7 linked regions of the Mus musculus genome follow. The protein of the gene in region 4 interacts with the protein of the main gene of each other region in a pairwise test. Links are inferred from orthologs where the notes say so. Each region holds a gene or a part of one and is shown on either strand. Other genes may lie near its edges.

The links.
Region 1: the proteins of Banp (region 4) and Mrrf interact in binary tests that used the Homo sapiens proteins (3 or more experiments, as listed by UniProt). The two-hybrid records come from large-scale screens. The link is inferred for Mus musculus from reciprocal best matches to the Homo sapiens genes BANP and MRRF.
Region 2: the proteins of Banp (region 4) and Nrip2 interact in binary tests that used the Homo sapiens proteins (3 or more experiments, as listed by UniProt). The two-hybrid records come from large-scale screens. The link is inferred for Mus musculus from reciprocal best matches to the Homo sapiens genes BANP and NRIP2.
Region 3: the proteins of Banp (region 4) and Leng1 interact in binary tests that used the Homo sapiens proteins (3 or more experiments, as listed by UniProt). The two-hybrid records come from large-scale screens. The link is inferred for Mus musculus from reciprocal best matches to the Homo sapiens genes BANP and LENG1.
Region 5: the proteins of Banp (region 4) and Ppif interact in binary tests that used the Homo sapiens proteins (3 or more experiments, as listed by UniProt). The two-hybrid records come from large-scale screens. The link is inferred for Mus musculus from reciprocal best matches to the Homo sapiens genes BANP and PPIF.
Region 6: the proteins of Banp (region 4) and Nedd9 interact in binary tests that used the Homo sapiens proteins (3 or more experiments, as listed by UniProt). The two-hybrid records come from large-scale screens. The link is inferred for Mus musculus from reciprocal best matches to the Homo sapiens genes BANP and NEDD9.
Region 7: the proteins of Banp (region 4) and Map2k1 interact in binary tests that used the Homo sapiens proteins (3 or more experiments, as listed by UniProt). The two-hybrid records come from large-scale screens. The link is inferred for Mus musculus from reciprocal best matches to the Homo sapiens genes BANP and MAP2K1.

The regions. Positions count from the first base shown.
Region 1 is NC_000068.7:36,153,398-36,156,897, reverse strand, and holds part of Mrrf (ribosome-recycling factor, mitochondrial precursor), read right to left. Parts: intron 3,306-3,500; coding exon 3,187-3,305; intron 1-3,186. UniProt on the Homo sapiens protein: Responsible for the disassembly of ribosomes from messenger RNA at the termination of mitochondrial protein biosynthesis. Acts in collaboration with GFM2. Promotes mitochondrial ribosome recycling by dissolution of intersubunit contacts.
Region 2 is NC_000072.6:128,398,348-128,402,565, reverse strand, and holds the start of Nrip2 (nuclear receptor-interacting protein 2), read right to left. Parts: upstream 2,801-4,218; 5' UTR 2,460-2,800; coding exon of another isoform or gene 2,454-2,459; coding exon 2,265-2,453; intron 1-2,264. UniProt on the Homo sapiens protein: Down-regulates transcriptional activation by nuclear receptors such as NR1F2.
Region 3 is NC_000073.6:3,663,041-3,667,267, reverse strand, and holds the start of Leng1 (leukocyte receptor cluster member 1 homolog), read left to right. Parts: upstream 1-1,427; 5' UTR 1,428-1,820; coding exon 1,821-1,952; intron 1,953-3,406; coding exon 3,407-3,586; intron 3,587-4,227. Other genes in the region: Tmc4 (transmembrane channel-like protein 4), read left to right, coding at 90-220, 294-449, 1,088-1,166, 1,260-1,328.
Region 4 is NC_000074.6:121,949,019-121,953,291, forward strand, and holds the start of Banp (protein BANP), read left to right. Parts: upstream 1-1,473; 5' UTR 1,474-1,630; intron 1,631-4,273. UniProt on the Homo sapiens protein: Controls V(D)J recombination during T-cell development by repressing T-cell receptor (TCR) beta enhancer function. Binds to scaffold/matrix attachment region beta (S/MARbeta), an ATC-rich DNA sequence located upstream of the TCR beta enhancer.
Region 5 is NC_000080.6:25,697,170-25,700,968, reverse strand, and holds the end of Ppif (peptidyl-prolyl cis-trans isomerase F, mitochondrial precursor), read right to left. Parts: exon of another isoform or gene 3,397-3,799; coding exon 3,300-3,396; exon of another isoform or gene 3,147-3,299; intron 2,721-3,146; exon of another isoform or gene 2,704-2,720; coding exon 2,628-2,703; intron 1,503-2,627; coding exon 1,367-1,502; 3' UTR 501-1,366; downstream 1-500. UniProt on the Homo sapiens protein: PPIase that catalyzes the cis-trans isomerization of proline imidic peptide bonds in oligopeptides and may therefore assist protein folding. Involved in regulation of the mitochondrial permeability transition pore (mPTP).
Region 6 is NC_000079.6:41,317,502-41,321,001, reverse strand, and holds part of Nedd9 (enhancer of filamentation 1), read left to right. Parts: intron 1-2,456; coding exon 2,457-2,558; intron 2,559-3,038; coding exon 3,039-3,140; intron 3,141-3,500. UniProt on the Homo sapiens protein: Scaffolding protein which plays a central coordinating role for tyrosine-kinase-based signaling related to cell adhesion. As a focal adhesion protein, plays a role in embryonic fibroblast migration.
Region 7 is NC_000075.6:64,212,106-64,215,605, forward strand, and holds part of Map2k1 (dual specificity mitogen-activated protein kinase kinase 1), read right to left. Parts: intron 2,505-3,500; coding exon 2,294-2,504; intron 626-2,293; coding exon 479-625; intron 1-478. UniProt on the Homo sapiens protein: Dual specificity protein kinase which acts as an essential component of the MAP kinase signal transduction pathway.

The sequences.
Region 1 (3,500 bases), on a different chromosome or scaffold from region 4:
ACTGCCCTTCCACTTTACACTTCGGTGAGCCCTTATAATACAAGGTACATGGAAACAGACCTCTAGGACCTCTTAAGCATCATTGAGTTCCCAGCCTACATATAGAACCTACTAACTTGGAGGACTCCAAAGCCTCCATGTCAAGCAGAGCTCTGTGCAATAGCAGTGTGAAGCTGGGGGAGGTGGCTCCCTTCTCTGAGCCTGCTGCTGCCTGAGCCACAAAACAGAACACTTGTGTTAGTCTTTCTGTTGGTGTGTGAAAGAAGCTGTAAGAAGGTGACCACCAACCCAGCAGAGATCCACACATCTTCCATCCACAGAAAAATAACGGAGACTGATAATTTTTGTTGTTGTTGTTCTTTGCTTTATTCAAATGATGCTATGGTTTTTATTCGCTTCTTTTCTCTCTCATCATTAACTGTAGCTTCAGGCATGTTTAGGAAAGGGAGCAACTGTGTGCACCATTTATCAAGCAAAATATATGCTAAACAAATGCAACACAGTTTTTGCCTTCAATGCGTTTGAAAGATTTTACATGTAAATCTGTACTGTGTCACAACAGCATGACACAGAAATGTTCAGGTTTGGAAAGAAAGTCAACTGCACGTGAAACCGAGAGGAATTCTATAAACACAAGGAGGATTAGCTCAGCATTTTGAAGCTATGAACCTTAGTACTCTATAGGCAGCTTCTAAAGCTGGAGGAAGGAAATGTTTAGTTAGAGCTGTTTGTTTAATGTATACACCAGATGAGAACAAGAAATTCAAAGGACAACGTAACTACCACTTCCTCCCTGTGCCTGTACATGGACCCCACTACTGAGACACTGGTAAAGCTTTTCCCAAAACCCAGGGAACTGCATACTAAAGAGATGGCAAAGATACTTTAGCCGAAAGATGAAAATATACTCCAACTTCCTAAGAAAAAATTAAGCAGTTAATACCTCCTCCTGCTTCATAAGAGATGCTCTGGTGGCCAATCAGGTGCTACTTCTGTGAATAACATTTGCTATTTAATAAGAGAAGTGGCTGGCTCTGAAAAGCAATCTGTCTGATGAGGTCTTCAAACTGTAATTAGGAGGCTATTCCCTAAATTGGCTTACAGTGCCTATGGGATTAGATGAACAGGGAGGAGAGGCCTCAGTGGTCCAGAGGGGGCCAAGGAGGGAAAGCTGACAGTTTCCTTTGCATCCATTTCTATGCTCCTCAGTAACACTATGAATAAGTGCTTCCTTCCCATTAACCTGATAACACATATCCACCAGTTTAAGGACAATGTATGGAACGCTTTCGTGGTCCAGGCACTGTGTTTGATGTGGATAAAATGAACACATTATATATGACTCTTCTACTAAAAGCTTACAACCTAGTGGGTAAGTGACAGTCATACTGTACCTCAACACAGGAGGAGTAAATAGCCAGCCAAAGTGTTTCAAGTCACAGGAGCAGTACCTACAAAGGCCCAGAAGATGCAGAAGGCATGATGTGCTTTAAGGCCAGTATGAGCAGAGCGGCGTACCAGGATACAGTGCCACAGGACTGCAAAGACTGGAAGCAGGCCAAGGCCAGATCACCTAAAGCCTTCTTGATCACAATAAAACTTTTGGGCTTTCATTTTTTTGGGGGGGGAGGGCCTCGAGACAGGGTTTCTCTGTGTAGCCCTGGCTGTCCTGGAACTCACTTTGTAGACCAGGCTGGCCTCGAACTCAGAAATCCACCTGCCTCTGCCTCCCGAGTGCTGGGATCAAAGGTGTGCGCCACCACGCCCGGCTGGGCTTTCATTTCTTAAAGACTGTTTGAATTATGAGAATGGCACAACCCAATCTACACTTTGAAACATTCAAGTTCACTTAGGCTGTAGGACTGGACTGGAGTGGGGCAGAGAGTAGCTGTAGCTCTAGAAGCTCAACTGGCCTGGTAGCCTCAGGAGTCTTCTGGTTGGAGATGGTTAGTTCTGCTCCTGTGCTAAGCTAGTTTGTCAAATCCAGGGCACAGACAAATCTACTGAGACAGAGACGAGAGCAGGAAGGCGAGGAAATGGAAGCCCAGAGAGGAAGACCAGGACCAGAGGACCAGGCCAGTTGGAGGTGGAGCTAGGACCAGATTTCAGGTTCTCTAGGTTTCTCAGCTGCAGCCTGAGGGTGAGACGCAGCTCATCCTCCAGTCTCGAAAGCCAGGCACTACATGTATTGGTGTCTCGTCTGAACCAAGCTGACTTCCTGGAGGGTCTTCTCCAGATTCTAATACAGGGCTCACAAAATGGACCTCGGGCCGTAGCTAGCCCATTAAAATATTTAATCTGTCTCAAGAGTTTCTAGTTTATTTTGAGGCAGTCTCATTGGTCCTCCGGCCTCTAACTCCTAAGAGCTGAGATAACAGACACAAGTCAGCACTCCTGGCTGCCAGACATTTTTAAAAGAGAAAAGTGGATTATTCCAAAACATTTAGACAACAAACGATACTTTGTACAACATTCAGGATTACTAGCTTCTTTTGAAACTAAAAATTGAAGCATCTGTTAATAGGAATTACCAGGCCTACATTTCTACCCTGCAGTCTTCTGCAAGAACTGGGCAGAGGTGACTCAGAAACAGGCCGCGTGACTACTTCCAGGTATGGTGGTTTGAATGAGAATGGCCCCTTTAGAATCATATATTTGAATGTTTGGTCCCCATTTTGTGGAACTGTTTGGGAAGGATTATTATGTGTGGCCTTGTTGGAAGAGATGTGTCTCTGGGGGTCAGTTTTAAAGTTTCAAAAGCTTTTAGCTATGCTCCATCTCCATGTCTGCCTGCCTGCTACCATGTTCCCCTCCATGATGGTCAGAGACTAACCCCCTGGAACTATGAGACTCGAATTAAGTGCTTTCTTCTTTAAGTTGCCTTGGTCATAGTGATTTGTCACAGCAATAGAAAAGTAACTAAGACAGCAGGTTAGCAGACCCTTACACTGCCCCAAGAGTCAGTCACTACTCTCCATTATTGTTTTTCAAATTACTTACTTGGTCACTGTAACATTTGAGTTTAACAGGTAAGAAATATAGAAATAAGAGAGCTTTTTTTTTATCCTAAATTTTCTTTCATAAATTTCTTCCCAAACAAAAGGGAACATTTCCTTCTGACCTGATCAAACCTCCTTTATTCCAAAAGAAACTCTGAAGACAGACCCTTACAATAAGGCACCTTACCTCTGGGAAGCTGGCCATATTCACCAGAATCACCTGTGGCGACTTCATGGAGATCTGGCCAATCTGATTTAGAGCAACCTTCCCATCAGCAGTTACCACAGTAATATGATCAAGGGATCCTAAAGAAAAAGTAATAAGGTTTTAGGATTCTAAAGGACCTTAGAAGCTCATACCTCTTTATCTAATTCAGATTCAACAAACATACATAAGCATCTTACCAATGTGACAAGGCTGTTCACAGGAAGTTTCAGGCAGTGGAAAGAGTATGTAATGCTAGCAGAATCACATTGGAATTCCTTACTGGTACCAAGGTG
Region 2 (4,218 bases), on a different chromosome or scaffold from region 4:
CTTTCTGGATTGTCCACCACACTGCTCTCATACTCTAGTGACGCTAGGCCTCTTCCCCGGGGAAGATTGTGTTCCACCCCAGCCTCTATCCTTGCTCACCTCTCCTGGAAACCCCTCCTCCCAGTTCTCACTAGGCCAATCTGTACGCATAGCTCCCTATGCTCTATTGAGTAGAAGGGCCTTCCTTCTACCTCTCACTCCACCTGCAGAACTGGCCTCTGCGTTATTCTGCCCTCCATCGTTCTCCACCCTTGTAGCTCATTCGGTCTTGATTCTCACAGATGTTATTTTTGGATTTCACCCCCACTGCAGCCCAGAAGGGCCTTCAAGTCAGATCTGTCTTGCTCATCTTTCTGTCCCAGGGCCTAGTTCAGCATAAAGAGGGAGGCTCCGTGGCTTGGGGGTTGGGATGGTTCAGTCAAAGAAAAATGTGCCTAGCATGCACATGGACCTAAGTCTCATTCCCAGTACTAAAAATAAAAAGGAAAAAGACACAAAATAAAACGGTTGGTTTTAGTCTTGTATGGTAGCACACTCCTATATTCACAGCATTCAGCAGTGGGGAGGCAGGAGGATCACCACAAAGGTGAAGTCAGCCTGCGCTACATAGCCCTAGCTCAGAATTAAAGTATGGTTAATTCTGTTGTTTATAAACTTAAAAGGCACTGTTGTAAGCCAGCCTGGGCTATGTAGCAGATTCAAGCCACCAGGACTACATAGTGAGACTCTGAACAAATTAAAGTCTCCTGGAGAATGGCTGTAGCCTCCCAAGCTCCACACACTCCTCCACCTGACCCTGGGAGCCTGGGATTGTTTTTCTACCCTTGGCCTCAGGAGACCCTGGCAGTGAGTTGCTGTTCTGGGAAAGCACAGCCAGCTTGGGACCCAAACAATTCCCATGCCCTTCTCTCCACAGTGACTCCAGGCTCCTCACTGTGGGAAGTGTGTGTCAGGGCTATCCCAATCGTGAAGAGGGGCTTCCAGAATGTTGCTTCTTCATGCCCAAAGTCATAGGCGCTACCTGCTGCAGATCGTGCAGGTGGTAAGGCAAAGGAGAGAGGTGAGAAACCCTGGTGTGAAAAGGCTGAGCTTGCTACTCTGAGGTGGTAGTGTCCACAGAGCAAGACAGGTGTAGGACTGTATGAAGAAGCACAAGGCCCAGGCCCTGGGACATCAAAGAACCTGCTCTCACATCCCTCCCTATTCCTCAACTGTCTCCTGTGTTCTCTGGGCTGCTGAGACGGGACTTGGAGAAGGACAGAAAGGCAGAGCCAGGTCAGTTAAAGCAACAGAGAATGCATTTACCCCCCAGGAAGAAGCAGCTCCCACAGGATGGAATTCTGGATTCTCCGGACCCCCCAGAAGCCCCAGCAACTCAAAAGCTAAAAGGACCCATAGCTAGAAGCATTCCCAATCGTCTCCCTTAGTGTTGCTATTAGCTAGGCAATGTCACAGTGCTAAGTATGTGGAAGCCTAGGTGACCTGTTTACCAGGTGGATGCTCGCAACTTTATTCCTTTCTAACAGATGGAGATAACAAGGCACAGAGACAACTTTCCAAATTACAGCCAGAATTTGGTCCCAAGCAAGGTGGTTCCAAAGCCCGTGCTCTTAACCATTATATCCCTGGGGGCAAAGACTGCACGCTGACCCTAGCCCCCCTTACCTCCTCATTGTCACCCTCGGCCTGTTCCCTCTGGGGGGCCAAAATTGCTGCAGTGGTTTGGGAGGAAGGGACATAAGGACACAGACAGGTCCAGGTCAGAGCCATATGAACCCCTGATTGCCCAGGAGACCCTCAGTAAGTGGGTGATAGGGGGGAAAGGGCAAAAGTGGGGGCAGGTCTGAGGAATGGGGCAAATTCGTGGGCAGCTTTGAAGGAATCTAGAAGTAGGAGTCATAACCCCGGGGTGACGGATCCTCTAGGCCTTACTGTCCTTATGTGTCCATTCCCTGGGAATCCCGGGTCCTCTAGGCTGCGCTGAACAACATGACTCTCCACTACCCCAGGATAGCCTTGGGCTTTAAGGGGGGAAAACGGTGGAAGCTGAGTTATGAGCCCAGGGACCCTCACTGCCACCAGGCCAAGAAACATTCCCAATGAAGGATCTGGGGAGGATTGGGGGGCTGCAAGTTGGCAGAAACATCTTTCCCATCTCAACAGGAGAAAGAAATTTGAAGATTGAGGCTCTGCCCTTTAGACCACCTCCCTTCACCCCAAACACAGGATATGAAGAAGAGGAGAGAAAGGGTCAGGGTCCTTACCAGGTCCTTAGAGGTGCCGAGTCTCTTGAGGCTGTCCAGGGGCAGCAGGTCAGCCGAGTCCTTGTGCAAGAACTGGGTGGCCTGTTTGAGTTGGCGCTGCTGGCTCAGGTGGGCTCGGTCCCGAAGCGAAGCTTCCTGTTCTTTCCTGGAGTCTCCCTCATCTCTCCTGGCCTCTTGCCCGGTGCTCATGGTCTTCTGTGGAAAGCAGACAGGGTGTATGGGAGTCTCTCTCCACCTCCTTTTTGCTCCCAGCTCCCCCTATAGCTTCTGCCTTTCTCTGTCTCCGGACTGCGGCTCTCCCTCTGACAGGAGGGTCTCAGCAGGAAGAAAAGAAGAAATAAATAAATAATAGGCGAGAGCAGCGCGTCAGACACCAGTTTCCAGAGATTGCAGTAGAGGGAGCGAGGTTCCGGCTGGAAAAACCCAGCCCTAAAGGAGAGGGAGGGCGAGCAGGGCCTGCAGCTGGTAGGCTGCAAAGCCTGCAGCTCTGGGGTCCTGCTCAGAGTGGGTGGTGGATGGTTGTGTGTGTGTGTGTGTGTGTGTGTGTGTGTGTGTGTGTGTGTGTGTGTGCGCGCGCGCGCGCACGCGGGTGTTGTAAACTGTCAGGAGGCTGTGCCAAGTCATCAGAGAGAGGTGAGTGCCATTGTGTGGGGGCGCATGTTTGGTATGTGTGGGGAAGCAGGCATGCATGTCCCTTGTCTCTTGTGTTTTGTGGACCGGCTCTGCTGTCCCCTTCCAGTCTCTGAACAGTCAGCCACCCAGCTCTTTTCTCATGCTGCTGTCCTTTGCTACTAGGGTTTGAGGTGCTGGCCAGAGAGGGACAGTATGAGAGTGGCCTCCCCACCTCTCCTCCATCTGCCATCAGCCACCCTCCTTGCTTGGCCTCTCCCTGTCAGTCCCAATATCTCTCTCGAATTGCAAAGAGATCAGGAACGTTCTAGTAATACTCACCTCTGAGATCTTCCCTGTTAGACGCTGAAGTCCCAGTGATTCCATGATGAGGAATTCTGGGAATGTTCTGGGCCTAATACATCTCTCCAACTGGGTTAGTCTGTGACTCACCTTGGTCCTCTCCCATCAGAATCCCAACTACTTGGGAAGGTGAGACAGGAGGATCACAATTCAAGGCCTGCCTGGACTACAGTGTGAGTTCACTCTCAGGCTTTCAATTTAGTGAAATATATATATATATATATATAATTTGTTTATTATATGTAAGTACACTGCATCTATCTTTGGGCACACCAGAAGGCATCTGATCTCATTACAGAGGGTTGTGAGCTACCATGTGGTTGCTGGGATTTGAACTCAGGACCCTGGAAAAGCAGTCAGTTAAGAGACCTCAGTTAAGAGCAGCTCTTAACCGCTGAGCCATCTCTCCAGTCCAATTTAGTGAAATCTTAAAAATAAAAAGAAGGGGGCTGAAGAGGTGGCTCAGTAGCTAAGAGCATTGGCTGCTCTTCTGGAGGACCAGGGCTCAATTCCCAGCATCCACATAGTGGCTCACAACTGTCTGCAGCTCACAACTATCTGTAACCCCAGTTCCAGGGGGTCCATGGCACCAGACATGCCCGTGGTACATATATACATATACATGTACATATGCACAGAGGCAAAATACCCATACACATAAAATAAAAATAAAAAGAAGGGTTGATGTCCCAGAGAAGGGGGATGCTAGTGGGGTGAGCACCCTCTTAGAGGCAAAGGGGAGGGGGGTTCATGGAGAGGAGACAAGGAAGAGGGATAATATTTGAAATATAAACAAAAAGATTAATAAATAAAAAACAAAACAAAAAATTAAAATAAAAAGAAGGGCCTGGAAAGATGGCTTGGGACTTAAGAGTGTTTACTGCTAGCCCAGCAGTGGTGGTGCATGCCTTTAATCCCAGCACTTGGTAGGCAGAGGCTAGACGGATCTCTATAAGTTGGAGGCCAGCCTGATCTACAGAGC
Region 3 (4,227 bases), on a different chromosome or scaffold from region 4:
GAGGCCAAAGCTCCAAGATAAGAAACAGGGAAAAGCAAAGGATTGACTCTTGAGTCTTACACCTCCATTTCCTCGCCTCTCCCTACCAGATAACCCTCTTCTCCATCTACTCACCGGCTTCCCGCACCTTCCGAGCATCCACGGCAAACTTCTTTTTCCCCCTGGTTCTCCTTGTGGGTCTGGCGATCTCTGCAGTTCCCGTGCTTTACAGTATCTTCCTGTAAGTACGAGAGACTTCTGTTTGTTCTCACTCTAGCTCGACTTGACTGAATCCAGTGTGTCTCCCCCTACAGGATCCCACCTTCGAAACTGTGTGGCCCGTTCCGCGGGAAGCTGTCCATTTGGGCCCAGATCCCTGAGGCCATTGAGAGCCTCCCTCAGACTGCCCAGAATTTTCTCTACTTTCTGGGAACCCAAGCTTTTACTGTACCTCTTCTGATCCTCTCTAGGTGAGCAGTCAGACTTTGAATGTGTGTAATTTAGTGTTTGAAAGAGAAAGGAGTTTCTGGGCACCTGAGTGCTAGAGAGGTGGGCTGGGTGCCTATATACAACAGAGACGTGGGGCTGGCCGGGATGCCTATAAATCAAGAGCAGGAGAGTCGGAGTGTGAATGCTTAGGGTCTAAGAAAAGACATCTGGGTTTGGATTCCTGGTCTGAGGAAAGGAGGGCTAGGGTGTGGATTTATCGATTTGATGAAGGGGGAGGAGGTATGGAGCCTGAACCTCTAGTTTAACCTCTGGTTAAAGGGTCTGAACTTTTGGGTCTAAAGAGAGAGGATAAAGACTTGTGTTCAGAGTCTCAAAAAGGGTTTTAAGGGATTTGAGGATCCTGATATTGGTTTCTTTAATTTACTTATTCATTTAATTTTTATGTGTGTTGGTATTTGGACAGTGTGACTGTCTGTGTGAAGTAACGAACTTGAGTTACAATTGTAAGCTGCCATGTGGGGCTGGGAATTGAACCCCGGTCCTTTGGAAGTGCAGCCAGTGCTCCGGTTACGAGCCATCTCTCCAGCCTGGTTTCTAAGGAGCCATATGATGAAGATGATTGTTTTTCTAGAGTGATTTTCATTCCTGTCTTCCATAGCATCCTGATGATGTATACCGTAGCCCTGGCTAACTGTTACGGACGCCTCATCTCTGAGCTCAAACGCCAGATAGAGACGGTGAGCCAGGCTGATTTCCCCGGAAAGGGCTCTATGAGACTATGAAAGAAGAATGAAAAGGTGTGCTTCACTTTCGCTCCTTTTTGCCCGCAGGAAGTGCAGAATAAAGTCTTCCTGGCCCAGCGAGCTGTGGCTCTGAGCTCAAGGAATGGAACTTCCTGATAAGTCTGGCTGAACCTTCAGCCCCTCAGCTTCAGTGACTTCATATCAAGTGATGGGACTCTTTCATCTCTGGAACCAAATTCCCCGCCCTCTGCCACCCGAATGCTACACTCTCAATTGAACCGTATTAATAAACAACAGTCAAGGCCGCTTTGCGTTTTGAAACCCCGTTCTGAAGCCTCGGACGGGGTTTGGGGAGGGGCCAGGTCCAAATCGGCCTGAAGAGCTAGGTTATGTCTGCTTAAAGGAATAGACAGGCAACAGCCTCATCAAGCAGCGTCCGGGGGTGGAGCAACTCAGGTTACAAATGCTTAGGATTGGCTGAGATGGAAGGCTCTCAGCCAATAATCTCTAAACAAGGCTAGGATGGGACGTGACAATTGGCCCAGAACCAATGCACGAGCAAGGGTGGAACCATGGGGCGGGAGCATCCTCGAGCCAATCGGAAGTGCTGAAGAGTGGGCCTGACAGTCCGAGGTCGGCACTGGAGCCATGAATATCTTGCCGAAGAAGAGCTGGCACGTCCGGAACAAGGACAATGTTGCCCGCGTGCGGCGCGACGAGGCCCAGGCCCGGGAGGAGGAGAAGGAGCGGGAGCGGAGGGTGCTGCTCGCCCAGCAAGAGGTAAGCCTGGGGACCGCCCAGAAGCGCGGCGGGCCTAGCTATCACTCGGTGCCGGGAGCGGGTCTGTGTGTTCGACGATGTTTCTCTGAAAATCCTGTGCTAACTTCCAAGAAACCTTCCTAGATTTCCCCACTGGTGTTGAGGGACCAGAGACTAGCATACTGGAAGAGTTGGACAAATATTCTGATTACTTTATAGGTTGCCCGCACAAGTTAATTACTGATCACCCACTCTGTGTATGCTCCCTTCCTTCTGAGCGCTTGCTTTGAGAAATTCCCTCTTAGAACAACTTGGAGGGGTGCGGTCACCTTGCTCTGAGTACAACGGCTTCAGCAAGGAGGGCAAAGGGCGGACAAGCCGGGGTCCACTTCGTTGGGCATGTCTTTTCTCCCTCCCTCATTGCTTGCCAAGAAAAGAGCATCTGGAGGTTTTATTTGGAACAGGGTCTGTGTAGCCGTGGCTGTTATGGAACTGGCTACGTAGACCAGGCTGGTCTTGAACTCAGCTTGCCTGTTCCACTTGAACGCTAGTATTGAAGACCACACACACATCACAGACTCTAAGTTACTCGATTAGTTTGGTTTACACTTAAGTCCCTTGGCCAATCTGATCATGAATTAGTGTGGGCTTAAAAAAAAAAAAAAAAGCCGGGTAGTGGCGGTGGCGCACGCCTTTGATCCCAGCACCTGGGAGGCAGAGGCAGGTGGATTTCTGAGGCCAGCCTGGTCTACAAAGTGAGTTCCAGGACAGCCAGGGCTACACAGAAAAACCCTGTCTTAAAAAACAAAACAAAACAAAACAAACAAACAAAAAGGTGACGCTTGTAATTAATCCCAGATACTAAGGCTGCAGAAAGGGGAGAATTGTGAATCAGAGACCATCCCTATCTGGGGTCAGGTTGTACTTGGAGTGGTGACCTGGAGCCATACCTTGGATTTAGATCCTTTGTCCAGAAAGCAATATTTGATTACCTTACAAGTTTGGGAGTATATACATACTTGTGTTGGGGACTGAATTTGGAACTACACACAAGGCAGGGGCTCTATGGCTGAACAAGCCACCTATACCTATACCTGAGTGGGTTTTCCTTGCATCACTTGAGACTGGGAAGCCTTCTGTTTTAGGTCAGGGATCTTCTCTGAACTATCTCTGATAGCCCAGTTTACTGTCTAAAAACATCGATTCTCCACTCCAAGTTAGAAATGGTATCTCTTCTTGCTCTCAATATTTGCCCCACCCCCACCCCCTCTTTTCAAGACAGGATTTTTCTGTGTAGTCCTGGAACTAACTCACTCTGTAGACCATGCTGGCCTTGAATTCAGAGATCCATGTGCCTCTGTCTCCTGAATGCTAGGTTCAAAGGTGTGTGCTACCACTGCCCTCCCTGCCCATGGACCATTCTTGTATCCTCAGCACTTCTGGGTTCTGAATGTCTTCCCTATAACCCTTCATAGGCCCGTACGGAATTCCTACGGAAGAAAGCCAGGCAACGAAACTCAGTGCCTGAGCTGGAAGCAGCAGACCCAGGAGCTCCAAGTTCTGGCCCTGTGGACCTGTTTAGGGAGCTGCTGGAAGAAAGGAAAGGAGTTCCCAGAGGCAATAAAGAGCATGAGGAAGAGAAGCGACGGGAAAAGGTAAGTTGGCCTCATTTTTTGGTGGAATCATGGGGGTGGGGACTGGCTGTGACTGTTAGGATATGGTGATAAGCACTCTAAAATTTTTAGAATATGACTGAGAGATATTACCTGTAAGTTGGTTACTGCTGTACAGCACTTAAACTGGCTAACCTTTTCCCATGGGACTAAAAAAAGTCTTAAGCTATTTTATTTTTGAGATGAGGTCACAACTACACAGACCAGGGGTGCTTTCCAATTCTCAATCCCCCTGCCTTGGCCTCCTGAGCCAAGTGTTGGGATCATAGGCACTCATCTCCAGACAGCATTTGTGCTTTTCAAACTGACTTGTACTGTGGCTCTCCTCTCTCTCGTCGAACTTTGAAGGTGCTATCTCCCACTGAAAAATCACTCCTCCACTTTGCTTTTCTGCAGGTTTTTCCTTAAACTGTTCCCAAAGCTTCTCCCATCTTCACTACTGCACAGGCCGCAGCCTCTCTTTCTTCCTCCTCCTGCAGATAAGCCCCTGGTGCTTCCTGAATGGTCTTCTGATCTCCCTTGTTAAATGACTGTCTACCAGTCCCCGTCTCCAGAAATTTGAGCCCTGGGTTTTTCTATTGCCACATCTAGGGCTCCCAGAGGGACTGAAAAGACTATTTTGT
Region 4 (4,273 bases):
GGGATGTTAGGGTGACATGCTGGGGATGACGTCACCATTACTCTGTTTTTCCGTGCGGTCAGGCATTCATGTTCAGAACTCTCACAACTACAGTTTTAAAATCTGGGCCCAATTGAGGGGCGGTGGGAGGAGATAGTACAACTCTCTAAGAGTTTCTGGCCAAGTTCCTCGTAGTTCCTCTGGGCTTAGCTTTCTTTCTTTTTATTTTAAAGATTTATTTATTTATTTCATGTATGTGGGTACACTGTCACTGTCTTCAGACACACCAGAAGAGGGCATTGGGTTCCCATTACAGATGGTTGTGAGCCATCATGTAGTTCCTGGGGTTTGAACTCAGGACCTCTGGAAGAGCAGTCAGTGCTTTTTTTTTTTTTTTTTTTTTTTTCCCCAAATGAGACAGGGCTTCTCTGTATAACTCTGGCTGTCCTGGAACTCACTCTGTAGATTGGGCTGGCTCGAACTCAGAAATCTGGCTGCCTTTACCTTCCAAGTGCTGGGATTAAAGGTGTGCGCCACCACTGCCCAGCAGGTCTCATTTTAACAGCACAGTTCTAGGTTGAAATCTTCAAGACAATCCTGAGGTAAAGTGGCACAGGATCAAACCCCAGACAGAGCACAGTGGTTTAGAAGGGCTGTCCCAAGGTTGCCCAGCTGGTAGCTGCACTGAGTCATGGCTTTATTATCGGCACAGGGGAACGGGCAGGAAACAGGTTTTTGTTTTGTTTAGTTTTCTAAGTGAAAATAACTCCTGTAATCCCGGTTTGTAGGATTGCTCACTGCGAACATGCAGAAGGGGACAGCCTGGAAAGGAACACTGACGACAGACCAGGTGCAGAGAACCATTAGTGGCATTTCTGGCAACAAATGCACATCGATGCTGCATAGCTCCTATTGCATGATACGTAAGCATGTCACATATAATCTCTATCACAGTGACAGTGTCCCCACGACCAGCTTGTCCATAAGGAAGTCAGGCAACTTTCCAGACAATGCCACTGAACGAGCCCGGAACGTCTGAGACCGATGCCAGGTAGAGTAGGTAGGACGGGTTTGGGAGCGTACAGCCCATTTGAGCCGCTGACACTACAAGTCCCAGCAGCCCTCAGGGCAGGGAAGGCATGGGGCAGCCAGAATCCGGATGGACTACAAATCCCAGCAGGCAAATCATGGCCGCAGAGACTACCAGTCCCAGGACGCATCGTGCCACACACAGCGCACACTGGGATTTGTAGTCGTCAGGGCAGCGTTAGTGTGTTCACACCCATCAAAGAGGACGTACATTCCTCAGATTGAACACTGGAGGATTTACTGCTTTAGCAAGTAACATGGACGTGAGATGGGGAAGTAAGGGCCCAGCGAGTCAACTCTCGGAGCAGGGGAGGACAACTGCGCATGCTCGTTGGAGTCCGTCGGCGAAAGCGCGCGCCAGAGGCGCCCAGAGCAGGCCCCGCCCCCTTCCCGACCGGCCCCGCCCTTGAGCCGGGAGCCCAGGGAGCCTGCGCTGAGGGCGGGGCGCAGGCCGTGGGGAGGCGCTCGCGGCGCCTGCGCAGAGCGGCTGCTTCTCTCGCGAGGACGGACGCCATTATCGCAGCTCCCCGACAAACACCACGAGAATTCCGCAGCCCACACGGTAATTGCAGCTCCCGCAGCCGGTCGCGCCTCCACTCCCCCTTCCCGCGGGGCGAGAGCGAGAGCGAGAGCGAGATCTCCGGCCGCCCCCGCCCCGCCCCGCCGCCAACCGTCGCCAACGGCCACGGGGCCGCACGCCGGGCTGGGCGGGGGCCGGCGGGCCGCGGGATGTCCGCGCGTCGCCTCCGCGCCTCCACCCGCCGGGGCTGCGGGACCCGGGAAGCGAGCGAGCGAGCGGGCGAGCGGCCGAGGCCCGGCGGCCGTGCTCGCGTGCGTTCGGCTCCGGGGCCTCGGCGCCTCCCGGGCCCGCGCCCGGCGCTCCTGTCACGGGCTCGGCGCGCGGGCGCTGTGGCCCTGGCTCGGCCGCCCAAGTCTCTCAGGACTGAGCCTCGCGCGCTGCGCCCGGGCCCCGCGCGCCGCCCCGCCGCCTAGGTGGCCCCATCTCCCGGCCGTTGTTGGCGCTATGCCCCGGTAACCGGGTGACTTCGCCCTGGTTGGCGCGTCCGCCCGCCTCTGCTCTGCTCTCTGTTGACATCGGGGCCGAGACTGGTGCTCGCTTCCCCACCTAGCGTCACGTCCCCGTCCCGCACAGCCTGGCTCTTTTTTTTCCTTGTTACTTGTGGTGGCCTTTGTTTCTCTGCTCCTGGTGACATTGTAACTTCTCGGAGATAGTGTGGAACCTCCGGCTTCCCTCTACCTCCTCTCTGCCTTTCTTCTAATCTGGGTTGGGGACGCTTTAGGCGGGTGCAGGTAGGTCCCGAGGTCTTTCTTTCGCTGCACGCCTGGTCAGCTCAGGACGCAGTGTTTCAGTCAGCTTTCTTCTTGAGTCCCCAGGGAGCCTCTGCCAAGGACTTCCTTTCTGGTAACTGTTTCCTCCCTGGACCGGCCTAAGGTCTTCTTGGCATTGGAACAGGTCTGCCCTTCGCAGGTATGCTCGGTAGGCGTGTCCTCGAGCGCTGGGAGATTGTCCCAAGAGCCTTTCTTAAAGTCGTTAGAGAGTTTGTCGCCCTCCCCCCCACCCCCGCCCCATTTGGGCACACTACTTGAGTTTCTTTATCTTTCTATTCCTTTTTGATTTTCATTCCAGGAAAGAACTTCAGTTTATCTTTCACCCCAGTGGCGCAGGACTTTTAATTCCAAGCACTTAGGAGACAGAGGCAGGTGGATCTTTGCCAGTTTGAGGCAACCTCGTTTACATAGTGTTTACATAGGCAACCTCCCCTATCTCGGGGAGGGGGCCGGCGAATCCACCATCAGAATTGTAGTTTCTGAGCAGGGCATAGAGAGGTACACACCTCTAGCCCCAGCACTTGGGAGGCAGAGGCAGGCGGATCTCTTAAGTCTGACACCATCCTGCTCTACAGAGTGAGTTCTAGGACAGCCAGAACTACACAGAGAAACCTTGTCTTGAAAAACGAAACAAACAAAAAAAAATTTCTGAATGTATTTGTTCTTTTCCTTTTGTTCAGTAGTTTGTTTCATGAATATGTTTTCTCTTTCAGGCTGAGAAAACTATTAGGGGTTCTTTTCAGTTCTCTTATCTGACTTCTTGTTTATCACTTTTGGGGGGTGGGTGGTAAATGTTAGCTTCTTGCTTTGGATGGCAGGTCCTCCAATAGTGCTAATTATTATTGCTTAAACCTTAGACTTTAAGGTAAGAGGAAACTGGCAGGGGGCCCTGGGTCTGTGGAGAGGGGTTTAAAAATGGTTTTCCCCACTAGTGTCTGGGAGAGGTTGTTACCTCAAGACTTGGAGGACCACATAACAGACACCTTATATCTGGGCTGTTTATGCATCTTCCAGGGTCTGTCTCCCTTTGCTTGGAAGCTGTTTTGCTTGTCAGGGGTGGCTGTGGAGACTGCTGAGGGCCAGGTGGGGCCTGGAGCCCCACTCCTGTGTCCTGCAAGCTATCTAGATCCTCTGTCAGAAGTTTAAGTCTTTGGCTGTGCTCTATTTTCTTGTGAGCTGATTGTACTGTAGTAAGTATTTTAGTGGGGTAAGTGGAGATTGTTTACAAGGCCACTCATCTTGAACAGGAATTTCAAAGCCTGTTGTCTTCATTCAGACAATTTGTCTCCTTCCATTTTTTGCTCTTTGTGACGGATGTGTGCCAGAACATGGTGTCTGGCTGCCTCCAGTTGACTGGGTGGTCCTTTGGTAGGGTACCGGGATGCAGAGGACTGGTCCCACACTGAGATTAGGATGCAGAGGACTGGTCCCACACTGAGATTAGGCACTTGATTTGACTTGTCTGGTGAGCTCTGAGTTTAGCCTCTTCACTTTGTTGCTGGGCTAGTGCAAGTAGCTAGCATATTATGCATGGTTCATTGATCCCGAGGTGCGCAGTGCAGTGTTTGCCGCGCCCATAGCACAGGGATAGCGAGGCGCTGTTTTGGGCTGGCACCCTTGCCCAGGGCCTTGCAGCAGAGTCCACAGCAACCCACACTTCATGAGCATTCTGAGGTCCACCTGCAGAGTTAGTCTGTGGTTAAGAATTTCAGAGAAACTGAATGAGCTTCCTCTTCCCCTTCATTTTCTCTCTTGGCTAACAGGAAGGTTACCTAGATTATAAAGACCATACACACGTTTCAATGTCCCACTGACATCTTTTGTTTGTTTTGTTTCAGGATGTAATTCAAGACTC
Region 5 (3,799 bases), on a different chromosome or scaffold from region 4:
TCCAGACCTAGATGTCATGTACACATTATGTAGCTGAGAGAAACTGAAGCTCAATCACTAAGCATAGCTGGGACTTCACCTAGAGGTAGTGCTCACGGTGGGGACTGTCTGGACCATCCTACAGGACAGATGGTAGCAAGGATGTTCTCAGTGGCTTCTGAGCTAGTACTTGGGGTTAGGACACAGAATGTTCTACACGGATTTCCTTACAATAAGGCTGAGGACGTGGCTTGTGTGCACAAAGGCCCTAGCATCATAAAACAACAAAACAAACAAAAAACAGTTCAAAGCATAGAACCTAACACATAGTAACTCCAAGACTGGCCCCAGCTGGAGTCAATGTTCCATGCCTGTAATCCCAACAGCATTGAGGAAGGTCAAGAGTGTTTGAAGCTAGCCAAAGGCTATACAGCAAGACCCTGGACCACACAGCAAGACCCTGTCACAAAAACAAATGAGCCCCAAAGATGTAAATTTCATTCCAAAACCAGAGACAGCCATTTTATAGAAAATAGGATTTATTTATCACATTTGAGATGAACACACAGGACTGTCCCAGAAATCTTTTACATATATATTATTGATAGATTGGATTTATTCAACATACAGAAAAAGCAAAGCCTGCCAGAAGACACTTCCCTCTTGAGAACAGCATGAGGTCAGGCAGTGTCTGTAAGTTTTCACCACGGGAATTCACATTGAGCAGAAAGACCGGGCTCACAGGTCTGTTCCCAGGTCCTGCTGCTTCTATTTCACAGGCTTTCAAAAATCACAGCAGCAGCCAGCAGGATTCACAGTGACCAGGAGGGAAGGCATTGACGCTGGGACTTTCACAAGAGCCCTGAGTGATGTCTCAGAAGCCAGGCTGGGAGGTGGGGGGGTTGGGGGTGTCTGTGGCTTGTGCCAACTCAGGTCACACATGGACAGTGCCGTGAGTGTCACAGCAACACAGGTCACACACGGACAGTGCCATGAGTGTCACAGCTTTGTTTCGATGAGATCTTGAATTCTATGTTAAATTATTGCAAGGAGGAAGACAACATTAAATAGCAACTGCTATCCCCACTGATCAAGGAAAAGAGTCAGGAGCCTTCCCTGACTAACTGGTCAGCATTGCCAATGTCCAAGGCACACGCACATGGCAATCACGGGGACATCGGCTGAGGGTACATGGCCCGATGGCCATACTGATGCCCAGAAACGGGATCTGAGGCAGGATGGACAGTGGAGAGCAGCCTGGTCTGGGAGGACCATGCCTGAGTGGCCTTCCTCAGACTCAATAGAAGTGGGTGCAAACTGTTCTTTGGAGAACCTGGGTGAATCAAGACATGGATGCCTGCTGCTGTCCTAGCACCTTGGCTGTGAGTTAGCTCAACTGGCCACAGTCTGTGATGACAATCTTCTTAGACGTCTTCCCACTTTTTGAGCCGAAAGATTCTATTTTCTTCACAACATCCATGCCCTCTTTGACATGGCCGAACACGACATGCTTGCCATCTAGCCTGTGGGGAGGGTTGAGCCAAGTAAGAAAACACCCAGCATCCTGGCCACTCGGCAGAGTTGTTTGCCAAAGGAACACCACTACCCTGAAAGCCTAGTTACCGCTTGTGAGCTCTTCAGCTGCATTCCACTGGATTCCAGGCTCCCAGTTCTGTCACCCTGGGCTTTGTCCGGCAGCCTGATCTGACTTTTGGTGACCTTACTTATGAGAAGTAGGTTGTTCTCATTCTGCCCAGGAAAATGATGGGCATTGCAGCACTCAAAAAAGCAAGACATCTGCACAACAGACTATGGCAAACTGAGCACCAAATAAGTGTGAGAAGCCTGGAGGTGTTGAGTAGCTCATGATCTGTGAGTTCCAAGAACAGAACAGGGACTTAGCTCAGCTCCAGCACAGCTGAGAATAAGGACAGCCTGGGGCAGAGCTTTAAGGCCCATCAAGGCTTCCATGGAAGGAGCAAAGAAGATGGGGCTGGCACCAACATGCCCGACCCTGACAGCCCTGTGTGGCTGTCATCCCATCGCTTAGATTTCCTTAAAGTTGTGAACACAGGTTTTCTAAACTTCTCAGTCAGCTGTTGCCTCTGACCTCCTGGGACCTGAGGCCTGGGATACTCAGAACTCTATGCAGAGAAAGGTGTTGCTTGGTGGAAGTTTTACCAGGGAAAAGGCATTCTTAGACAGCATAGGACTGTGGGAAAGGAAGCTGGGAGGTCTGGGAGCCATGTGCGGCCATGCTAACAGTGTGTGAGGAAACTATTCCTCACAACCCATGATTCCATAAGCACATTCTATAGCAGAGGCAAGCCAAGGAAACATCAGGGTAAGCCAGGCAAAGTGGCTTCCACTCAGACCACCATGAGGCCACTTACTGAAGCATTTCCCAAATTCAGTGTGTGTGCAGGCAAGACACAAATCAAATTCTAGCCAACAGCACCATTGGGGTAGACAGGTGGGACACAGTCACAGAAAAACAAACTGTGCCTTGATTCCTCCCTGTCTCTCAGACAGACACACAGCGAGAAGCAAGCCACTGGCCCAGAGCAGACGGGCCAGCTGCAGATCAAGCTCCCGACTGTGACCTCCTCTAGCTTCCTTCTCAGAGGCCCTGCGTGTGATGTACTCACCAGTCTGTCTTTATCGTGCAGATAAAGAACTGAGAGCCATTGGTGTTGGGGCCTGCGTTCGCCATGGACAGGACACCTGTAAGACAAGCACGGGTGAGCTGTGTCCCCAGGAGGTACCTCACCTGAAATGTTGCTAGGGAGAGCAGGTGGCTCACACTCCATTGAGGACGCGTGAACCTGCAGATCCTGGGACCAGAGAACCAGTGCTGACACAGTCCCCAGAGCTTGTGTGCCTTAACTGACAGCTGGCTTTCAATGGGGGAATGCCTGGGTGGAAAGAGTTCAGGGGTCGCAGTGGGGGCGCTGATTGAAACCCCAGCTATGGCTTCTAGACTCTCCCACACTCTGCCTTGGGTTCTGCTTAAAGACTCCCCAACCAAATTCCCATAGGGAAATCTGTTTGGTTTTTGTTTGTTGAAACAAGTCTCACTTTGAAGCCCAAGATGGCCTTGACCTTTGGATTCTCCCACCTCGGCTTCCCAAGTGCTGGAATTACAATAGGAAGTTTGGTTTTTACAGAGTAATGAATGAGAAAGTTCTAGAGAAACCCAGTAAGAGATGCTGAGCTGCCTGGATGCTAACAGAAGGAGCATGACAAGGATGCCGGGCAAGTGTGGACCATAGCGACGGGATGAACAGCAAGAGCGCTGGACAGGGCTCCGCCCCACAGACCTGGCCCCACATGCTTCAGTGTGAAGTTCTCGTCGGGAAAGCGGCTTCCGTAGATGGACCTCCCTCCTGTGCCATTGTGGTTGGTGAAGTCGCCAGCCTGTACACAGAGGACCTTGTCACTAATTACCACAGCTGGCAGAGGGACAAGGGTCCCCTAGGAAGACAGCCCTCAACGCTCTCAAGGCTCGCCCTCAGGCAAAAGGGCCAACAAAACTAAAACCAAGCTTCTGCATTTGTAACCATGCCGTAACAAGTCTGGTTTCTGAACAAAAAGTATCCTGTCTGAGCTAGTTTTTTTCTGTAAACCTCAAGAAACGTGCCTGAGCTATTCAGATTCTCAACCCACAATTCCTAAGAGGACCACAAGCAGGTGACCAGGGGTCCTGTTCTCAGAGCCAGGCAGTAGGAGACAACCAGTTCCCCGCCCGAATCCTCTTCTATGCTCCAGCATCACCCTCCCAAAGCCCAACAGCTTTGTAGACACATGCTCCATGGGGGTA
Region 6 (3,500 bases), on a different chromosome or scaffold from region 4:
TGGCTTCCTCAGAAACTGGTTCCGTCACTCTCTGCCAACAAACTTAAAGCGCTGAGTTCCTTTTCTAAACCCGAGACAATGGAGAGACTGGGTGGAAATGTTTGCTGCATACTAATCTCCTTTACCTTCAATGTAAGAAATAATCAGTTGTAAGCATCAGGCATTTTAAACAAAATTGGACCAGGAGATGTGGGAGGCCCTGGGGTACAGACACTCGTGACCTTGGTGGTGTTCCATTCTGTTCAGCTTGAGGTGGGCATGGGGCATTTTCCACATAGTTTTATAGGCAGCCTGACGCCAGAGTCTTCACATTCAAGATGAAAGGCCTCCTGGGAACAGACAGTTCCTCCTAATTTTTGAAGTCTTTTTTCAAAGACATGGTGGGCAGTGTAGGACTGTTAATGGTTTGGAAGTGGGGTGCTTGGGAAAAAAAAAAAAAAAAGTAAGACTGGGCCATTTTCAAACCCTGGAAAGAGCAAATGGATTGCGTTGAAATCGTGTTTTAAAACGACCAGTCAGTACCTAGCTATGGACATAAGAGTCTACAGTGGGTATAGTGCTTGCTGTATAAATGAGAGGTCCTGAGTTCAGATCCCCAACATACATGGAAAAACTTCTGCCTATAACCACAGTGCTGGTATGGTCAGCGGGAAGAGCCAAGTCTCAGGGCTTCCCAGGTCAGCCAGTCTGACCAAGTGGTGAGCTCTAGGTCAGTATGGAGACCCTGTCTCAATAAAATAAAGTAGAGAGAAATAGAAAAACAAACATGACGTTGATTGACTGCTGCTCTCCACGTGTGCCTATACCAGAGAGTGCATCCACATAAAAAGAGGGAGGGAGGGAGGGAGGGAGGGAGGGAGGGAGGGAGGGAGGGAGGGAGGGAGGGTGAACAGGCCAGTCCACTAGGTAAGATTCTGTTGGCTAACTTTGGCTCTAGATGCCAGAGTTCATGGTGCATGTATTTGACTTCTGCCAATGGCTGGATGTAGGGTATTTGCTTCCCTAGTGGAAATGGGGAGATGATGAGAGACTAGAGGACAAGACACTTCACGGCTGAGAGTCTGAGGGTTTCCTCATCAACACAATTCATTCTCTGCCGCATGGAGTCCATATCAATGGAGACAACCAGCTGTAAGCAGAAATTATTTAGAAAATAATTGCATCTACAATGAAGATGTGAAAATGTGTGACGTTGTTCTCTAAATAATACTGCATACCATCTATTGACTTGGTGTTTGTATGGTGTTTATATAACATTGTAGACTATAAAAACATTGGGAAAGGGTTTGAAGTGTGTCCAATGATATATGGAGGTTACATACAAAACACATATATGGAGGTTACTTGCAAAACACAGCACCTTGGCCTTGACCATCCAAGGATGTTGGAACAGGGTCTCCTAGAGACACTGTGGGAAACTGTATTTCCCTTGTCTCATAAAGTAAAGTGAACATCCCCAGGCAATTATAAGAACAGGACTGTTCATCAGCGGCTCTATGAAAGGATTAGGGTGACCCATGGAATTTTCAGTTATAATCACAATAATAATTTCAGATAAAGAGGCATACTGGGTTAGGTATGAGAGGAATTTTAAGTGGCCAAACTATTTGTTTATGTTCTTTACAAAAGCCTTGGAGCCTCGTTAAAAAAAAAAAAAAAAAAAAAAAAAAAAAAAAACTGTACTGTTGTACTTTAGCCACTCCGAAAGGATCAGCTAAGACTTTCATAATTTATTTTTATTTTATATGTATGTATACAAGTGTTTTATAATATATTCATACACACACACATACACACACACACACACACACACACACACATGCTTGATGCTGTTGGGGGCCAGAAGAGGCTATCAGTGCCTCTGGGACCAGAGATGAAGATGGTTGTAAGCTGCCATGTGAGTACTGGGAACCAATCCCAGGTCCTCTGTAAGAATAGCAAGTGCCAGCCGGGCATGGTGGCGCACACCTTTAATCCCAGCACTCGGGAGGCAGAGGCAGGCAGATTTCTGAGTTCGAGGCCACCCTGGTCTACAAAGTGAGTTCCAGGACAGCCAGGGCTATACAGAGAAACCCTGTCTCAAAAAAAAAAAAAAGAATAGCAAGTGCCCATAGCAAGTGCCCTTAACTGCTGATCCCTGCAGTCCAACTTTCATAATTTAAACATATCTCCTTGAATATAGGGAATTGAGAGTCCATTGATGAATTTTGATCAGATTTTTGGAAAATTCTTAAGAAAAGAAATAAACATATTTCAGTCACTTCTTTCATATTCTGACCTTGTATCTTCCTTTCCTCTCACCCTCCCATACTTTTTCTCCTTTCCTTCCTTCTTTTTCTCTCCTTTCTCTCCTTTCTCTGGTGGATTGATTAGGGATATGTTTCTCAACACAGGCTGATAAGTATGCTGAGGACTCAGGGCTGACGTTTGACATCTTTGTGTATTCTTACCCACAGGTGATCACCCCAGTGAGGACGGGCCATGGCTATGTGTACGAGTACCCATCCAGATACCAAAAGGATGTCTACGATGTCCCTCCTTCCCACAGCACTCAAGGGGTAGGCAATGGGAACATCACCAGGGGAGCTGGTGTAGGGGGCAGCAGCTCTTTAGGAACGTACAGGAGAAGAGGGACATCAGCCACAACCTTACCTTGTGGAGGTTGCCTGTCCAGAGGCCATTTCAGTCGGTGTTGCTTACATTGTATTTCTTAGGTTTGCCTTATCAGAAAGTCTAGTCTTTTATCTGAGAAATTTCTCATCTGCTTTATCGGTTTGTCATTTTATTTCTGGAAGTGTGTAATTTAAATGATCTAAATTATAGAGCAGATAGTTCACGTAAGATTGTTTTCATAGTTAACCTAAATCAAAGAATCCAAGAGTCATAAAGAAAACATCCAGAAGCCCCTGATGACATGAAACACTACTAACGACCAAGTCTATGTATGACCTGATGAATGAATCCTTACAGAAACAATAGCAAGGGACTTGAACAGCAGATTCCATTGCATTCTGGGTAACTTGAGTGTTTCTTTTCAGGTATATGACATCCCTCCTTCCTCAGTAAAAGGCCCTGTGTTTTCAGTTCCAGTGGGAGAGATAAAACCTCAAGGGGTATATGACATTCCCCCCACCCAAGGGGTAAGTGAACTGGAAAAACACAGTATGTGGATGAGTACCTCAATGTGTGGTGGGGGGGGGGAGTGGAATGTGTCATAGTTTATTGGGATAAAACAAGAATGGCAGTTCTAAAAGGGGAAAGGAGAGAAAGAAGAAAGAGAAAGAGGGAAGGAAGCAAAGGAGAGAAGAAAGCCATTATTATTACAAATTTTGAGTCCCCGAAAATATGAAGACATCAATCATGAGAGTCCATTGGAAGAGGAGATAGTATGTTCAGTTTGGCAGTATCTAACACATCACATATTTCTAGAAGGGTCTACAGCTTCCTTTGTCTCTACATAAGAAGTAGCTCATTTGATTTTTCTGTCATCTTCTGGGCCT
Region 7 (3,500 bases), on a different chromosome or scaffold from region 4:
CTCCCACACATGTAACTGGCCCATAAACACCCACTCCCTGACTTGCTCTTACCTTTCACTAGTGTGTGTGTGTGGGGGGGGGGGGGGGTGCTCTCGTCAGCTCCTCCAAAAAAAATCCCAAGGCTGCCCTTAAAGTATATCATAAACCTTCTGAAGGCAGAGACATAGACTGGACTTATACTGTATTAGCCAGATTTGAACTACATCAAAATCTTATGGCTATCAAAATAGGAGAAAATTAGGAAATATACTGGAGAAAAGCCCACTGAGAATTCCTGGCATCTAACACCTCTCTTTGAAGAGAAGCAATGCTGTCATCCTGTGACTATACCAGACTCCAGTCAGGCCCCCGGGTCTCCTAGGCCTCTAGGGTGTGGAATGGGGAGGCAGGGAAGAGCTGGTCGCCATCCAAACCAACAATGAGGCCAGAGCCAGCCTGTTCCCAGGCCACTGCAAAGACTGACAGCCAGCTGCTCACCATGTGCTCCATGCAGATGCTGATCTCGCCGTCGCTGTAGAAGGCCCCGTAGAAGCCCACGATGTACGGGGAGTTGCACTCGTGCAGTACCTGCAGCTCCCGGATGATCTGGTTCCGGATTGCGGGTTTGATCTCCAGGTGGATCAGCTGAAGGGAAGACGGGAGGGGAAAGCTTTTAAGAAGTGGAGTAAAGAAGAATGTCTTTCTTCAAGATTTAAGTTTCTGAAGGTAAGAAGAGAAACAGCTTTTTGGCTTTGCTTAAGGTGCTGATGACTGAACACAGAACCTTGAGCACGCTATACAAGTACTCTACCACCAAGCTACATTCCAGCTCTCTATGATTTTGAAAAAGGAACTCACCATATTGCCCAGGTTAGCTCACTTTGTAGCTCAGTCAGGGAACTCACAATCTTACTGCATCATTCTTTCAAACACTTACTACAGCCATGAACCCCTACACTTGGAAAAATAAATTTTAAAAATTATAATTATTAATTTACCTTTGTGTGGGTGTGTAAAGTCTAAGTATGTGTGTGTAAGCACGTGTGTGAATAAAGGTACTCTCATGTAATAGTGCACATGTGGAGGTCAGGTGACAACCTCAGGTGTCTGTCCTCACCTTCACCTGTATATGTGTATGCTTGAGTATATGTATGTGCATCATGTGTGTGCAGAACTGCAGTAAGCATGGTTTTAAGCAGCCATGTGGGTACTATAACCAACCCAGGTCCTCTGCAAGAGCAATAACTGCTTTTAACCGCTGATCCTTCTCTCCAGCCCCTGGACTGTTTTCCTGTGGCATATGCCAGGCTAGGTGGGCACAAGTTCCCACGACACTATGAAAACGCTGGGATCCCGGATACTCATACTACAAATCAAGCTATTATGTAGGATCTGGTGATGTAAACTCGAGTACTCACAGTAGTATAGCATACTTACATACTTTTACCCACTAAAGCCATTTTTAAAGCCAAGTTTCTAGAGATGAGGGAAATGCGGCCTTCTGGACACGGTTCAGTAGGGCTGTGGTGTATAAAGGCATGCAGAATTGACGTAGGGTAACCCTAATCACCCCACGGGCTCCTCCTTGACTTCAGGAACCTGATAGGATTGATTTAGCCAAAATGTCAGCTGTTGCCTAATATGTTTCAATATTGCCCCTTGTTCTAACCAGAAGACAAGTGACAGACACATTTAATGTTATTTAATAAGGTCACGCCACAGACAATAAGTATGACATATGACAATTGATGAGTTGTAACAGCTGACAGGAAATAAACAAGAGGTAAGTCCCCAAAATGGATGCCACTGGGAAAGCTAGAAGGAACGGCACAATACAAACATGGAGAGAAGAAAGAGCCGGGTGAGCTGAAAAACATGGTAGAACATAGTCTCTCTATACAGGGCACGTGTTATGACGTGGTGAACAGGAAAGGGATTGGGTCAAGACTGAAGCCATGAAACTCAGCTTTGGCCTGAGCATCAGTCACTAGAACTGGGTGTAAAAAAGCAGCTCCTTTCTGCACTTGACAAATGTATGGTTTTCAATCTAACTGCACAAAAAAAGTCCTAAGTAAAAACCTCCTTTTGCCAGGCGGTCGTGGCGCACGCCCTTAATCCCAGCACTCAGGAGGCAGAGGCAGGTGGATTTCTGAGTTCGAGGCCAGCCTGGTCTACAGAGTGAGTTCCAGGACAGCCAGGGCTATACAGAGAAACCCTGTCTCGAAAACAAACAAACAAACAAACAAACAAACCCTTTCTTTTACCCATTCAGGCTCCTAATTGATAATTAGCTGTTTACCCAGATAAGCTCACCTTTCTAGCCATAACCAGGCCAGATGGCTTGTGGGAGACCTTGAAGACCACTCCACCGTTGCCAGCTCCCAGTTCGCTGATCTTCTCAAAGTCATCATCCTTCAGTTCCCCCACCTTCTGCTTCTGCGTCAGAAAGGCCTCGAGCCGCTTCCGCTGCTGCTCGTCAAGCTCCAGCTCCTCCAGCTTCTTCTGCAAGGCCTCCAGGTTGGTCCTGCCCCGAGGAGGCCCAGGTCAGCACTGGCGCAGCACAGAGACGCTCGCTCTGCCCCGCCTGCCCTGCAGCCGTGCACTCCTGGGCCAAGCCCACAGGGGACTCAAGGAAGGTAACGCCCGAAAGAAAGAGTTCAACTCGCCAGGGCTCTGCTCATTTCAGTCATCCCTAGGGCCTCACCTTCAACCCTGCTTTATCTCACAACGCAGCATTGAACAATGAGGGTCCTGGATTTCTCTCAACATATTAAAGGTCTACAAGAGGAACCAAGGAATCTAGTAAGAGTGAAAACAAGCACCTAAGAGATGGCTCTGACATTAAAAGCACTTGCTGCTGCTCTTCTAGAGAACATGGGTGCTCCCCACACCCATGTCAGGCAGTTTACAACCACCCGTGACTCCAGCTCCAAAGGACCCAACGCCTCTGGAGCCGTCCTCATGTACACACACTCAAACTCAGACACACAGAAATACATGTCACTTTTTAAACCCTCACTAGAGACAGGTGTGGTGACTACCTATAATCTCAGCACTCAGGAAGCCGAGGCAAGATGACTGTGAGCTTTAGGCTGGTTTAGGCGGCTATATAACAAGCCCTACCTCAGAAATAAAACAATGAATTTTAATTACATTTACACAATACACAAAATAAAATTCACTAAACCTTCTCAACTGTAACCAAACCCACTTTTAATTGGAACAGAGCAGTGGAAACCTTCTGTTCTTTTTTTTTTTTTTTTTTTTTTTTTTGAGTTTTTCAAGACAGGGTTTCTCTGTATAGCCCTGGCTGTCCTGGAACTCGCTTTGTAGACCAGGCTGGCCTTGAACTCAGAAATCCGCCTGCCTCTGCCTCTGCCTCCCAAGTGCTGGGATTAAAGTCCTGCACCACCACGCCCGGTTTCTTCTGTTCTAGTATATGGTCTAGGAAGCAGGGCAATCAGAAAAGTTGGATCACAATCCATAAAAGACACACCTAAGTCTGTTACTTTTGTATAGC